2 linked regions of the Callithrix jacchus genome follow. The protein of the gene in region 1 purifies or fractionates together with the protein of each later gene. This does not show direct contact. Links are inferred from orthologs where the notes say so. Each region holds a gene or a part of one and is shown in the gene's direction. Other genes may lie near its edges. The genes, in order: MARK1 and YWHAE.

Region 1 (5,834 bases):
GACTAAAAATTAAGAATACTATAATAAGTATTAAATACTGTATATAAAATTATGGTATAATTTCATAAAATATAATCACTTTACTGTGAAAGAATCTCCAAAAAGTTGTTTACATGATTGGTTTCCAGTTTGGGGAAGTTGCTAAACTAGAGTTCCAAAGTCGGCCTGGGTAGTTTCCACCTGGTTCCCAAATCCTCCGCAGAATGAACCTTACCTTCTTAGGGATCTCTGGAGCTTTTTTATTTGAACTAGGAAGGTCAGCTATAAAAGTTAGTTTTATATGTGAATGTATGACAAATGGAAGCAGTGACAGTTCGTTTCCCTAACTTTTGCATAATTCTGAATTTCCCTGGGGAAATACAACTGACGGTTGTTGCACCTGAATGTCACTGGCATTGAAGACTCAAAGCAAGGGAGGTAGGGTGGGAGGAGTACAAATTCAGAGACACAGCTTGGAAGGAGAGATATCATTCACCATCAGCCTTTGAAAAGGAAAGAAATGTCATTGAGAACAGCCAGAAACACTTTTAAAAGCTTCTAGATGGTGTATGGTAACATGATTTGACAAGGAATTAAGTTATTTATATGAAAATTTGGCCAAAATTGTGAGATTATCAAAAGCACGTATTTTTATATTGGTACATTTGGTGCTCATGGGGTGATTTTACAGCCTTTCAGGTTTGTCCTCTATTTTAAATTTCCAATTAATTTCTAGGGAATTAAATGTCCGTAGCTTCTAAGAGTAAGGTAGGAAATAATTTAAGTGTTCAAAAATTCGGAACTTATTGGTTAAAATAAAATATGGTATGTCTGTACAGTTGCATAGGCTACAGCTGTAACACTTTAGTATCACTTGATGTGGCTGGACGTTAATGACATGTTAAATGGGAAAGCAGGTAATGAAACAGTGTCTTCAAAACTATGAAATATGGATGACATTTCTAGCTTTTTTGAGAACTTTAGTATAAGTTAGTTTCATAATGCATCTCTCCATAATCAAATCCGTTTTCTTTGTCTTAGTAACATGGACCAAGTCTTTTTTTTTTTTTCTTTTTGAGACAGGGTCTCGCTCTGTTGCTCAGGCTGAAGTGCAGTGGTGCAATTACAGCTCACTGTATTCTCAACTTCTCTGGCTCAGGTGATCCTCCCACTTCAGCCTCCCTGGTAGCTGGGACTACAGATGTGTGCCATCACACCCAGCTAATTTTTTTTTTTGTACTTTTTGTGGAGACAGGGTTGCCCAGGCTGTTCGTGAACTCCTAGCCTCAAACAGTCTGCCCTCCTTGCCTCCCAAAATGTTGTGATTGAGCCACCACAATCGGCCTACATGTTCCAAGTCTTACTTAAGAATTTTAATAATCTTAGCCTCTTTGGTTCCATAGTTTATAGTTTTTAACATATGCTTTTATATAACTGATGACAAAATTCCTTCCATCTCGGAATCTGCATTACTGAAAAATTTTACATCTGTATTTATATAGTTTTGTTTATATGAGTTTTTTCCTTCTTCAAAGTGAATTCAAGCAAATATCTATTCACTTTTTAGCCCTCATGATTCAACAATGTTTAGGTTGATTATATATTTTAAATGCTGGATTAGCCAAAAGTAGCAAGTTTTTTTGTTTTGTTGGAGTAAGGATTAAACAGAAGAGTATTATATGCACACTGAAAATCATTTATGTATATTTTATTACCAGTGAGTAACTAGTCACGGATTTGACAGGCACAGCAATGGGTTTACAGGTCAGAGGTTGTGTGCATGGTAAGGAGAATGACTTATCTATCCCTTTTTGCTTATTTTCTCTCTTTTCTCCAAAGCTCCTCAGAAATGGCCTGCCTCCTAGCTCAAACCTGAGACTTGAGGAAATAAATATCTTCATTGTGGCACTGCACACAACACTGTTGGTGGCCTCAGCCAGACATGCCGTTGATCCCAGGGCATTTAGTCTGCTTAATATTCCCAGTGGTTGAGAGAGTTTCTCAAGCAGGTGAAGAAAGGCAGCCCACAGGCTTCTGAGTGGGCATGCCGTCTTCACTGCCCCAGGCTTCTGCTGGTGACGATACTTAGTGTAGAGTTGACTTGCACTCCTAGTTACTTAGAGCTGCTCACACCCCTGCTCCTGCCCTTTCTCCACCACCAGCTCACAAAGGAGGGAGAGAATAGAAACCCCACTCTCCTGTTGCTTTCAAACTGCTGGCATCTATTGGAGGATAAGCTAAAACTGATGAGTTCATTTTTGATGCTTTGTCTTTTACTTCTTAAAGCTAAATGAGAGGGAGGAAGGGGAAAATCTTGTTAATGTAAGATTTGGATCAATTAAAATTCTGTATTTTTCTCAAAATCTCCTTAAATACATTTCTTTGACTTTCCACAAATATATTTAGAATTTTTAAATTGCCTTTTTTTCTTCTTAAAGAACAATGTGTATTCTGGAGGTAGCATGGCAAGAAGGAATACTTATGTCTGTGAAAGGACCACAGATCGATATGCAGCATTGCAGAACGGAAAAGACAGCAGGTAAATGCCACAGTGCCAAGTAGTAATACCTTTGCTATTGTTCTTTGTTAGTGCTTTTGCTGAAATGCCTGCGGCTGAATGCGTCCAGGGAAAAGGAGTTACTATATGAAATAGTAAGATTGCAGCCAACCATTCTTACTAAGACATCTCTCCGGACCAGGATAGAAGGGTGGGAAAACATTTAGAGAAAACAGGAAATAATTCTCTTTACCTACCAATTTCTGAGTAAAATCTGATAGTAAATATTTTTCTGTAGCAAAGCAGATCATACCATCCTAATTTCATCTTCATAATTTAAATCTTACTCTTTTCTGCACCTGCTGCTTCCTGTCCTTTCACCTCCCATCAAGTCATTACTGTATTTGAATAATAAAGACTTTATCTTCCTCCCTCTGAAAAAATGTGGCCATCTTATTTCTCATCATTCAGAACCATATAATTTTTAAAGTGTTTCATTTCAAATTATAACCCATATTATTTTTATTATTTAAAAAATGTAACTTCTTTCTGTCATGAGTCAGAAGGACTGCTCAGCAATGTAGCACAAAGGCCTGGAGCCTGTTCTAGTGACATTCTTTCCTCAGATCCACCTTCCATCATTTCAGCAGTGTGTACAAAGCAGTCTCACCTGATAAGACTGTAAAGTAAGTGTTATTGTAAGGCAAGCAAAGAAAACTGTATCTATCTTCTTTGCAGATAAGATAATTGGAAATTGATTTCAGACTTACGATTTTTCCGGTACTAAATTTTAAGCTGCGGCTCCTTTTATCTGCCACTGTTAACCTATTGACTCATGATATGATCTAAAAGTGTGTTGATGTATCCAGAGATAATATTTTTGGTATAATTACCAATTCTGATTGTATCAATAATGGACAATGAACTACATCAACATATCACACCAAACTGTGATTTTGGGGAAGTAAAAAATGACTTAGTCATAATCATTTTGTCTGAAATTATTGTATCTCCACAAAAAGAATTTTATGCTTTCTCACATTTACATACATAGAGTAAGTGTGTGTGAGATTTTTTTCATGGATGATAGTGATACATTTACCCTGGATACTTTTCATAAGAATATTAATTTTTTGTCAGTCATTAATATTGCTGTTAATGTTAGTTTCTTTCAAATATTTCAGTCATGAGAAGTTATTCAGTTTAGATTTTTTAAAAATATAGTTCTTAAATTTTAGTAAACCACAATTTTTCTTCTTTTTTACATTTCCATGGTCTTCTCTACTGCTTTTTGACAAAAGCCTTACAGAGATGTCTGTGAGTAGCATATCTTCTGCAGGCTCTTCTGTGGCCTCTGCTGTCCCCTCAGCACGACCCCGCCACCAGAAGTCCATGTCTACTTCTGGTCATCCTATTAAAGTCACACTGCCAACCATTAAAGACGGCTCTGAAGCTTACCGGCCTGGGTAATGTGCTGGTTACATTTCATTTTGTTCACTGTTTAAAAATATATAGTACCTTGCATGTTCTGCTCATGTACCCCAAAACCTAAAATCAAATAAAAAATAAAAAAAAAATTCTAAATATACGCGATTACAAAAAAATAAAAAATAAAAAAATATAAAGTACCGTGTGAAAATACATGATAGTCACCATCACATTAAGTAAGACCTTTCTGACAAGATTCAGTGTTTGTAATAGAGGAAAAACTGAATTGTATCATAAATTTTCTGTGTGCTTTGGCTGTTATTGGAAATGTTGCATATAACTTGAGTCATTTTCTAGAGGAATTTTTTTAAGGATTTGGTTTTAAGTCCATCTATAAAGTTAAATATTGCTGCTTAATTTGTCACTTAGGTAAAGTGATTTTTTTATGATTTAAACATATCCAAACAAGCACTAAACTTGGAGTTGAGACCTTTGGGTAATGATCAGGCTCAGTTCCTTGTTCTTAAAAAAACAGGGCTTCAGTTTTCCTGTCAATGAAATTGATGAACTCAAGAGCCGATTCGGGTATAAAATTATATAACTGGTTTTCTAGTATTTTTCTATTTTAGGATTTCTCAAATTCAGTACTTCTGAATATTTTAACCCTCTGTTAGATTTGTTAAGCATATTGGTAGTGCCATGTGGTGGTGTACCATCACTGAAGCCTAAATTAGAAATGGGAAATTACTTTATTCAATGTCTTTTTAATAGACAATAAAATTTGTGTTCAGCATTGCTAAGTGGTTCAGGAGAATATTAAAAAAATATTTGCACTACCCCTGGTTTGGGATTCCTGATACTGAAGAGTATTCATCTTTGTGTCCCTGTTTCAGTCATTTCTTAATTTTTAGTCACCAGACAAAAGGTACCTAGTTTCAGTCTGAAATTTTATTCCTCTCCAACGATATAGTAAATAAAATTAACTCATGTCTCACAGCTGTAATGCGAACAAATAAAGTAGGGCCAAAAGAAGTAGCCATAGCCATTTGTTTCAAGTTTTTAGCATGAGTGAAAGGTTTTCTTGTCATTATTCTAAATGATATATCTTAATTTGTCCCAGCAGTACAACCCAGAGAGTGCCTGCTGCTTCCCCATCTGCTCACAGTATTAGTACTGCGACTCCAGACCGGACCCGCTTTCCCCGAGGGAGCTCAAGCCGAAGCACTTTCCATGGTGAACAGCTCCGGGAGCGACGCAGCGCTGCTTATAATGGGCCACCTGCTTCACCATCCCACGAAACGGGTGCATTTGCACATGCCAGAAGGGGAACGTCAACTGGTATAATAAGCAAAATCACATCCAAATTTGTTCGCAGGTCAGTACCAATGTACTATCGTGTTTTGTTTCCTCTAGAAATTACAAAGGGAATTACTTTTTTCTTAAATCTTTATAATAATTTTCCAAAGTGGTTTTATAACATTTCATTAGAGATGCTCTTTTACAGATTTGGAAGAAAAAAATTAGGAAGACATAAAGTCTTTTTCCTTAAGAGAAAGAAAAAAATGGACAAAATGAGATTTTAAAAATCTATAAAATAAAATGTAAAGAACAAAAATTTGACTTTAAAAATGTGTGTTTTAACAAAAGATTGTTTTATATTTAAAAGCCTTGATTGAGAAAAATAAATGAGTTTACATGTTTTCTTCAAACAATATTTATCTTGAAAATACTTTTAAATTGCTTGCTAATAATATATAATTTACATTTTGTTCTTCTTTGCATAAAAAGCCCACATACCAGAGTCATAGATCTATGTAATTTCACATCATAAAACCTTAACATCAGAACATAGGAAACACAAAATGAATACATGTAAAGTTCTAATCTGCTTAAGCAATGCAATTATACTTTCTAAAAAGTAAGCATGCTT
Region 2 (6,336 bases), on another chromosome or scaffold:
CTAAGATTTCAAGGTGTGAGCCAGCATGCCAGGCTCCTATGTCTCTTTTTTTCTGAGACAGAGCTTTGTGCTTTCACCCAGACTGCAGTGTAATGGCAGGATCTCAGCTCACTGCGACCTCCACCTCCCAGGTTCAAGTGTTTCTTCTGCCTTAGCCTCCCAAGTAGCTCGGATTAGAGGCATGAGCCAACATGCCCCTATGTCTCTTAAAAAGTGAAATTGATGGCTGGGTAGGGTGGTTCACACCAGTAATCCCAGCACTTTGGGAGACTGAGGCAGGTGGACCACGAGGTCAGGAGTTTGAGACCAGCCTGGCCAACACGGTGAAACCCCGTCTCTACTAAAAATGCAAAAAATTAGCTGGGCATGGTGGCACGTGCCTGTAATCCCAGCTACTCAGGAGGCTGAAGCAGGAGAATTGCCTGAACCCAGGAGGTGGACGTTGCGGTGAGCCGAGATCACGCCATTGCACTCCAGCCTGGGTAACAAGAGTGAAACTCCGTCTCAAAAAAAAAAAAAAAAATTATATATACACACACACACATAAAAATTAGCGGGGTATGGTGATGGGTGTCTATAATCCCAGCTACTCGGGAGGCTGAGGCAGGAGAATTGCTTGAACCCAGGAGGTGGAGGTTGCAGTGTGCCAAGTGCACTCCAGCCTGGGTGACAGAGCAAGACTCCATCTCGGAAAAAAAAAAAAATTGATTTAAACTTCTTACTATCCCAGGTCCTTCACAATTTGATTCTAACCTACCTTTTTTTTTTGTTGTCATTGTTGAGATGGAGTTTCCCTCTGTCACCCAGGCTGGAGTGCAATGGGGGAATCTTGGCTCACCACAACCTCTGCCTCCTGGGTTCAAGCGATTCTCCTGCTTCAGCCTCTCGAGTGGCTGAGATTACAGGTATATTATTGTTTTAAATAGAGACGGGATTTCTCTATGTTGGTCAGGCTGGTTTCAAACTCCTGACCTCAGGTGATCCACCTGCCTCACCCTCCCAAAGTGCTGGGATTACAGGTGTGAGCCACCACTCTGGGCCCTACCTTTTTCTTTCTTTCTGTTTTTGTTTTGTTTTGTTTCTTGAGTCAGGGTTTCACAGTTGCCCAGGCAGGGGTGCAGCTGCACTAACATGGCTCACTTTAGCCCGGACCTCCCAAGCTCAGGCAATCCTCCTACCGAAGTCTCTTGGGTAGCTGGGACCACAGGTGACATCACCATGGCTGGCTAATTAAAAACAAAGTTTTTTGTAGAGATGGCATCTCGCTATGTTGTCTAGGCTGGTCTCAAACTCCTGGGCTCAAGTGATTCTCCTGCCTCAGCCTCCCAAGGCCCAGGCACTGAAGCAATGTTCCCTGAGTTATTCCTGCCTCCTCAATCTTAAATTGATCTCAGTTCGACTATTCTATACTATGTACTCCACACCATCCTCTTCTAACAATTTCCCTGCTCCCATTCATGGCAGCCTCTGGGGAAAAAAGGTTAAACAGGAGAAGATAAAGATGAGTGTGAGGGCAAAGTGGAGGCGTGAAAACTGCAGCTCCCCTGTCCCTGCCAACTGTAATAGGGCCCAGTGTTGTTTTTTTTTTCAGATGGAGTTTTGCTCTTGTTGACCAGGCTGGAGTGCAATGGCGCCGTCTTGGCTCAACGCACCCTCCCCCTCCCGGTTTGAAATGATTCTGTTGCGTCAATCTCCGGAGTAGCTGGGATTACAGGCGCCCCCCACCGCGCCCGCCTCATATGTACATTGTTTAGTAGAGACGGGGTTTCGCCAAGTTGGCCAGAATGGTCTTGAACTCCCAACTTCAGTGATCCGCTGGCCTCGGCCTCCCAAACTGCTAGGATGGCAGGAGTGAGTCACCGCGCCGGGGCCAGGGCCCAGCTCTTTACCCTGAGGGTAAAAGTGTCTGCAAAAGGCCCACGACCAGGCTTGGCGGAGAAAACCAGGACGCTGGCTGGGCTCGGTGGCTCACGCCTGTTATCCCAGCATTTTGGGAGGCCGAGGCGGGCGGATCACCTGAGGTCAGGAGTTCGAGACCAGACTGGCCAAGATGAAGAAACCCCCTTCGCTACGAAAAGTACAAAAATCAGTCGGGCGTGGAGCCGCATGCCTGTAATCCCAGCTGCTCGCGAGGCTGAGGCGGGAGAATCTCTTGAACCCGGGAGGCGGAGGTTGCAGGGAGCCGAGATCGCGCCATCGCACTCCAGCCTGGACGATAGGGTGAAATTCCATCTCAAAAAAATAGAAAAAGAAAAAGGAAAAAGAAAACCAGGGCGCGGTAGAAACAGCGCTGATTTCAGGCAGGAAGACCTGCTATGATGACAGAAACCGTCCCAGCCTCCGTGGTGGTTTTCCGCAGGCCGGACGTCGGCCGTCAGTCTGGCCCAGGTCTCGCGCCCGCGGTTTTCAGGAGCAGCCCGGGCCGGCCTGGCCACCGCCGTCGTGTTCCCCGGGGGCCGCTCCCTCGCGGCAGTCGCAGTTCCCGCCTCTAGGCCCCGGCGCCCGCTGAGCGGACGGAGGAGGGGCGTCTCCGGCGCAGGTTCCAGGACCCGCCCCCCGCGCCAGTTGCCAGGGAGCGGTTGCCATAGAGCTGAGCAGTTGTCCGCGTGCGCAGGCGGAAGTCCCGGATTGAGGCGCCGCCATTTTTGCTGCCCGGACGCGGAGCGAAAGGCTGAGAGAGTCGTAGACACTATCCGTTTCCATCCGTCGCGCAGACCCTGCCGGAGCCGCTGCCGCTATGGATGATCGGGAGGATCTGGTGTACCAGGCGAAGCTGGCCGAGCAGGCTGAGCGATACGACGGTGAGTTGTGGGGGCAACGGGGGGCTGGAATTCTTGGACCCTCTGCCGCCGCCCACAGAGGCCGGGAACGGGAGACAAAATGGCGGCATCGTCCGCGAGCGTGGCCCGGGGACTTGGGTTCGGGGAGCGGAACCTGGCTTGGGAACTCCCGGAGCGACGGGAGGCCGTGTGCCCCGGAATGTGACCCCTTCGCTGTCCTCAGCTACACATACCTCGCGGGCCGAGAGGCCGGGGTGGAGGAGTTGGTTGTAAAATGGCGGCTGGGGGGAGGGCGAATCCCGGGGCGGGGGAGGGGGAGGAGATGGCGGGCGCTGCCGCGGAACCGGCCACCCCCAGGGAAGCTTCCGGGACGGCCTTGGGAGGTGGAGAACGATTGGGTAGGGTGACGGGGGAAGCAGCACCCTCCACACGGGAGAGCGCCAAGACCGGGAGCTGTAGCGCGGGCGCCTTTCAGGGAAATATGGCGGGTGGGGGCGGTGGCTTCTCCCCGGAGGCTTCGTGTGGGGCGGCGGCCGTGGAGTCTCACAAAGGAGAGCCTGGAACGCGATGCGCTTCCTCGGGCCTGGGTCGGGAGGCCGCCCTGGGTGACAGCGGGGAGCGGGCGAGCGAGCATCGCTGCTCTGGGTCCTGGGCGGTGGCGGGCTGCGGGGCCGCGGTCGGGTTTGTTTTGCGTCCGCCGGCGCCGCGGAGTGAGGGGTTTCGGGCTTTTCCCCCCTCGCCGCCTTCCGGGGAGGTCCAGAAGATCCGGGCTCCCGCCCCTTTTCCGCGCTCTAAATGGTGAAGCTCGAAGTTCCTGTAACCTTTCTCTGGCTCCGTCAGCAGCGGGTTCTGATGGATGGAACCAGGAGACCAGGGGGCTGCGCGACTCTGGGTTCGAGCCTTCGTCCTCGCGTTTGGGAAAACGATGACTTTACAGTTTGTCCGCACCCTCATGACACATGGGAAAAAAAAGACCTGTTGAAATAAAGTTGTTTCCAGTAGCGTTTAGTAACTGTATTTTGGTTGACTCTGCAGGCTCGAAATGCGGGTTTGTACTTCGTGGGGGACCTTTGCCTCTTCCAGGCACTCGGCTGGGCCTGGGGTCTTTGAGTTATGAAGGTTGGAGGTCCTATTCTTTTTTTTTATTATTATTTTTTATTTTAAATAAGTGGGTTTATGTAGGACTTTGAGTAGTTCCTCTTTGCTCATTGTCCCTTTGCCCTTAATTGGTTCTTCAGTCCTCTTTCAGAACTTGATCGAAATATCCATTGTGTCTGCCAGGAAGTTTCTTCTTCATCCTCCCCCCCATCCACCTTTTTTGACCTGTAGACTTGAATTTCCCTCACATTTAGAATTTTTCGATACTGTGGTATTACCGAAACCAGAAGTCCTGTATGCGGCTGCTGTGGTTTTCATGCTTTTGCATGGTACGGTGGGGTGAGACATGGTTGGAATCTAGTGTCCTTGATGTGAGATTTTTCCTGGTTAAGCTACCTATATTTCAAAATGTTTCAGAGGGCCATTGCTTTCCTGGAAATGCCGATTTGGTCATGTGAATAACCTCAGGGCTGGTTCCCATTATCAGAAATGAGGATTCAGGGATTTGAAAATAAGACAAGTCCTCTAGAGCTCAAATATACGAAATATGCTGAACTAAATTTCGTCTTGTAAATTCTTTGTTATTTGTATTGAACAAAGTTGCTGTTGGGGGAGGGAAGGGATAAAATGGGGAAGTACAGCTCAAGGTCAGCTCTCTTTATTTCAGTGTTGAAAAATCAAACAAATAGGTGTGCTTATATTGGAAGACTCCCCTCCGCCCTCATCTCCAGATGTTCCCCTCTTCATCTATTAGTGTTCTCCGTAGGAAACAAATGATACTTGAATGCTTTCTGTTTTGTGGGGATTGGGGCTATTTAATTAAACTGGCTGTGGTAACTAGAAAGAATGTGAGTTTTTTTTTTTTAAACCGATTGGAAAGCTTATGATTGTAGTTTCCAAATAAATTACAGGTTATTGTAGTTATATTTTGGCGTGAGGATTTCTGACCAGAACCTTTATTGGGTTTTGAACGTAGGATTCTTTGATACGGCCACAATATTGCAGTTATTAATGTTAGGTGTCCCTTTCAGCATCTAAAGCGGTAGGAAAATAGATCTCCAAGGTGAGGAGCTCTTCCTGTGACTTGGGCATAAGGTAAGGACTCAGTAGAAAGGGGAGGGGAGACAGACACCAGGAATCGGCCTCTGTCTTTGTCCATTCCTTTATTTAGGGCAATATTTTTTTGTTTGTGGTGACAAAAAGTTTTTCCCTTAGTTCTAGTCACCAAATGGAATTGATCAAGTGTGGGGAGGGGGTGGGACTGGTGGAAGAAGCTAAGAGTATTGGCAGGATTTCTTTTTTGGGTGCTTGTATGCAAGTGCTGGTTTTCCAGCTGTCCTTCGCTCTTATCTCCCTGTACTGCAGTAGGTTTATTTTGTTTTGCTTGCTGTGTTAAACGAGTGCCTAAACTTCTTTGTAGCCTCATTTAATTCTGTCCTGGGGCATTGGAATCAATTTATATGGATTATTTAATGGTACGGGAGGAAGAGTTAAGTTGTGTTCAGGAAAAGGACAATTTTGGGTCACAGGAAATACTGAAGTTTGGGGCTAGGAGTTGAAGATTACATCTAGCATCTCATTACTTTAACAAGCTAGTGGTCTAAGGAATAGTTTTTACATCGTTTAAAACCATGTTAAGCAAGTCCATCATTTAACATTTCTCAAGTAAGTCTTACCGTCCCATATACAAATTGGTACAAAAACGTGGGGAATAGGCTGGGTGCGGTGGCTCAGGCCTGTCATCCCAGGACTTTGGGAGGCCAAGGTGGGTGGGTCACCTGAGGTCAGGAGTTCAAGACCAGTCTGGCCAATGTGGTGAAACCCTGTCTCTACAAAAATAAAATTAGCTGCGCATAGCCACCCAGGAGGCTGAGGTAGGAGAATTGCTTCAACCCTGGAGGTAGAGGTTGCAGTGAGCCGAGATTGTGCCATTGCCCTCCAGACTGGGCAACGACAGAGCGACACTGGGGAGGGGGGGAAGGTGGACAATATAGAGGGGAAAAATGAATAGTTTCCCCATTTTGGGGAGCAGAGGGGCAACATAAACTGCATTTGGGCTTGTGCAGCAGCTGTTGATTTTGTCCTTTCCTCATCTTCTCCCTGTCAAGATTGGCTGCATGGGAGGTAGGATGAAGTTTGACGGTCATTTTTGATTCACTAGGAATGCATCTGTTGAGTCACTTGAGAGCTGTCCTGTGAAAACACCAGAACCTCACCTCCAGCTAGCTTATTCTGCTAGTTAGTGAAGAATGGAGAGGGAGCATGTGTGGAATGAACTTTTTACTACAGTCCTGTTAGGGAAAATATGGGTAGTAGTAAATTAACTTTGTTAATAAATTTAGAAGCATTTAGATTAACTACTAATTATTTGACTATAGGCCAGCAATTTTCCATTGCCATTTCAGTTAATGGACTAACTTTTGGAGAAAAGATTTTCTCCTACCTAAATACATAGACA

Evidence for each region.
Region 2: the proteins of MARK1 (region 1) and YWHAE purify together in Homo sapiens (affinity purification with mass spectrometry; 3 studies listed by BioGRID and IntAct, with this or other methods). This does not show direct contact. The link is inferred for Callithrix jacchus from reciprocal best matches to the Homo sapiens genes MARK1 and YWHAE.

What each region holds. Positions count from the first base shown.
Region 1 is NC_133520.1:8,038,414-8,044,247, reverse strand, and holds part of MARK1 (serine/threonine-protein kinase MARK1), read left to right. Parts: intron 1-2,417; coding exon 2,418-2,518; intron 2,519-3,777; coding exon 3,778-3,942; intron 3,943-5,024; coding exon 5,025-5,279; intron 5,280-5,834. UniProt on the Homo sapiens protein: Serine/threonine-protein kinase. Involved in cell polarity and microtubule dynamics regulation. Phosphorylates DCX, MAP2 and MAP4. Phosphorylates the microtubule-associated protein MAPT/TAU.
Region 2 is NC_133506.1:66,851,932-66,858,267, forward strand, and holds the start of YWHAE (14-3-3 protein epsilon), read left to right. Parts: upstream 1-2,625; 5' UTR 2,626-2,737; coding exon 2,738-2,801; intron 2,802-6,336. UniProt on the Homo sapiens protein: Adapter protein implicated in the regulation of a large spectrum of both general and specialized signaling pathways. Binds to a large number of partners, usually by recognition of a phosphoserine or phosphothreonine motif.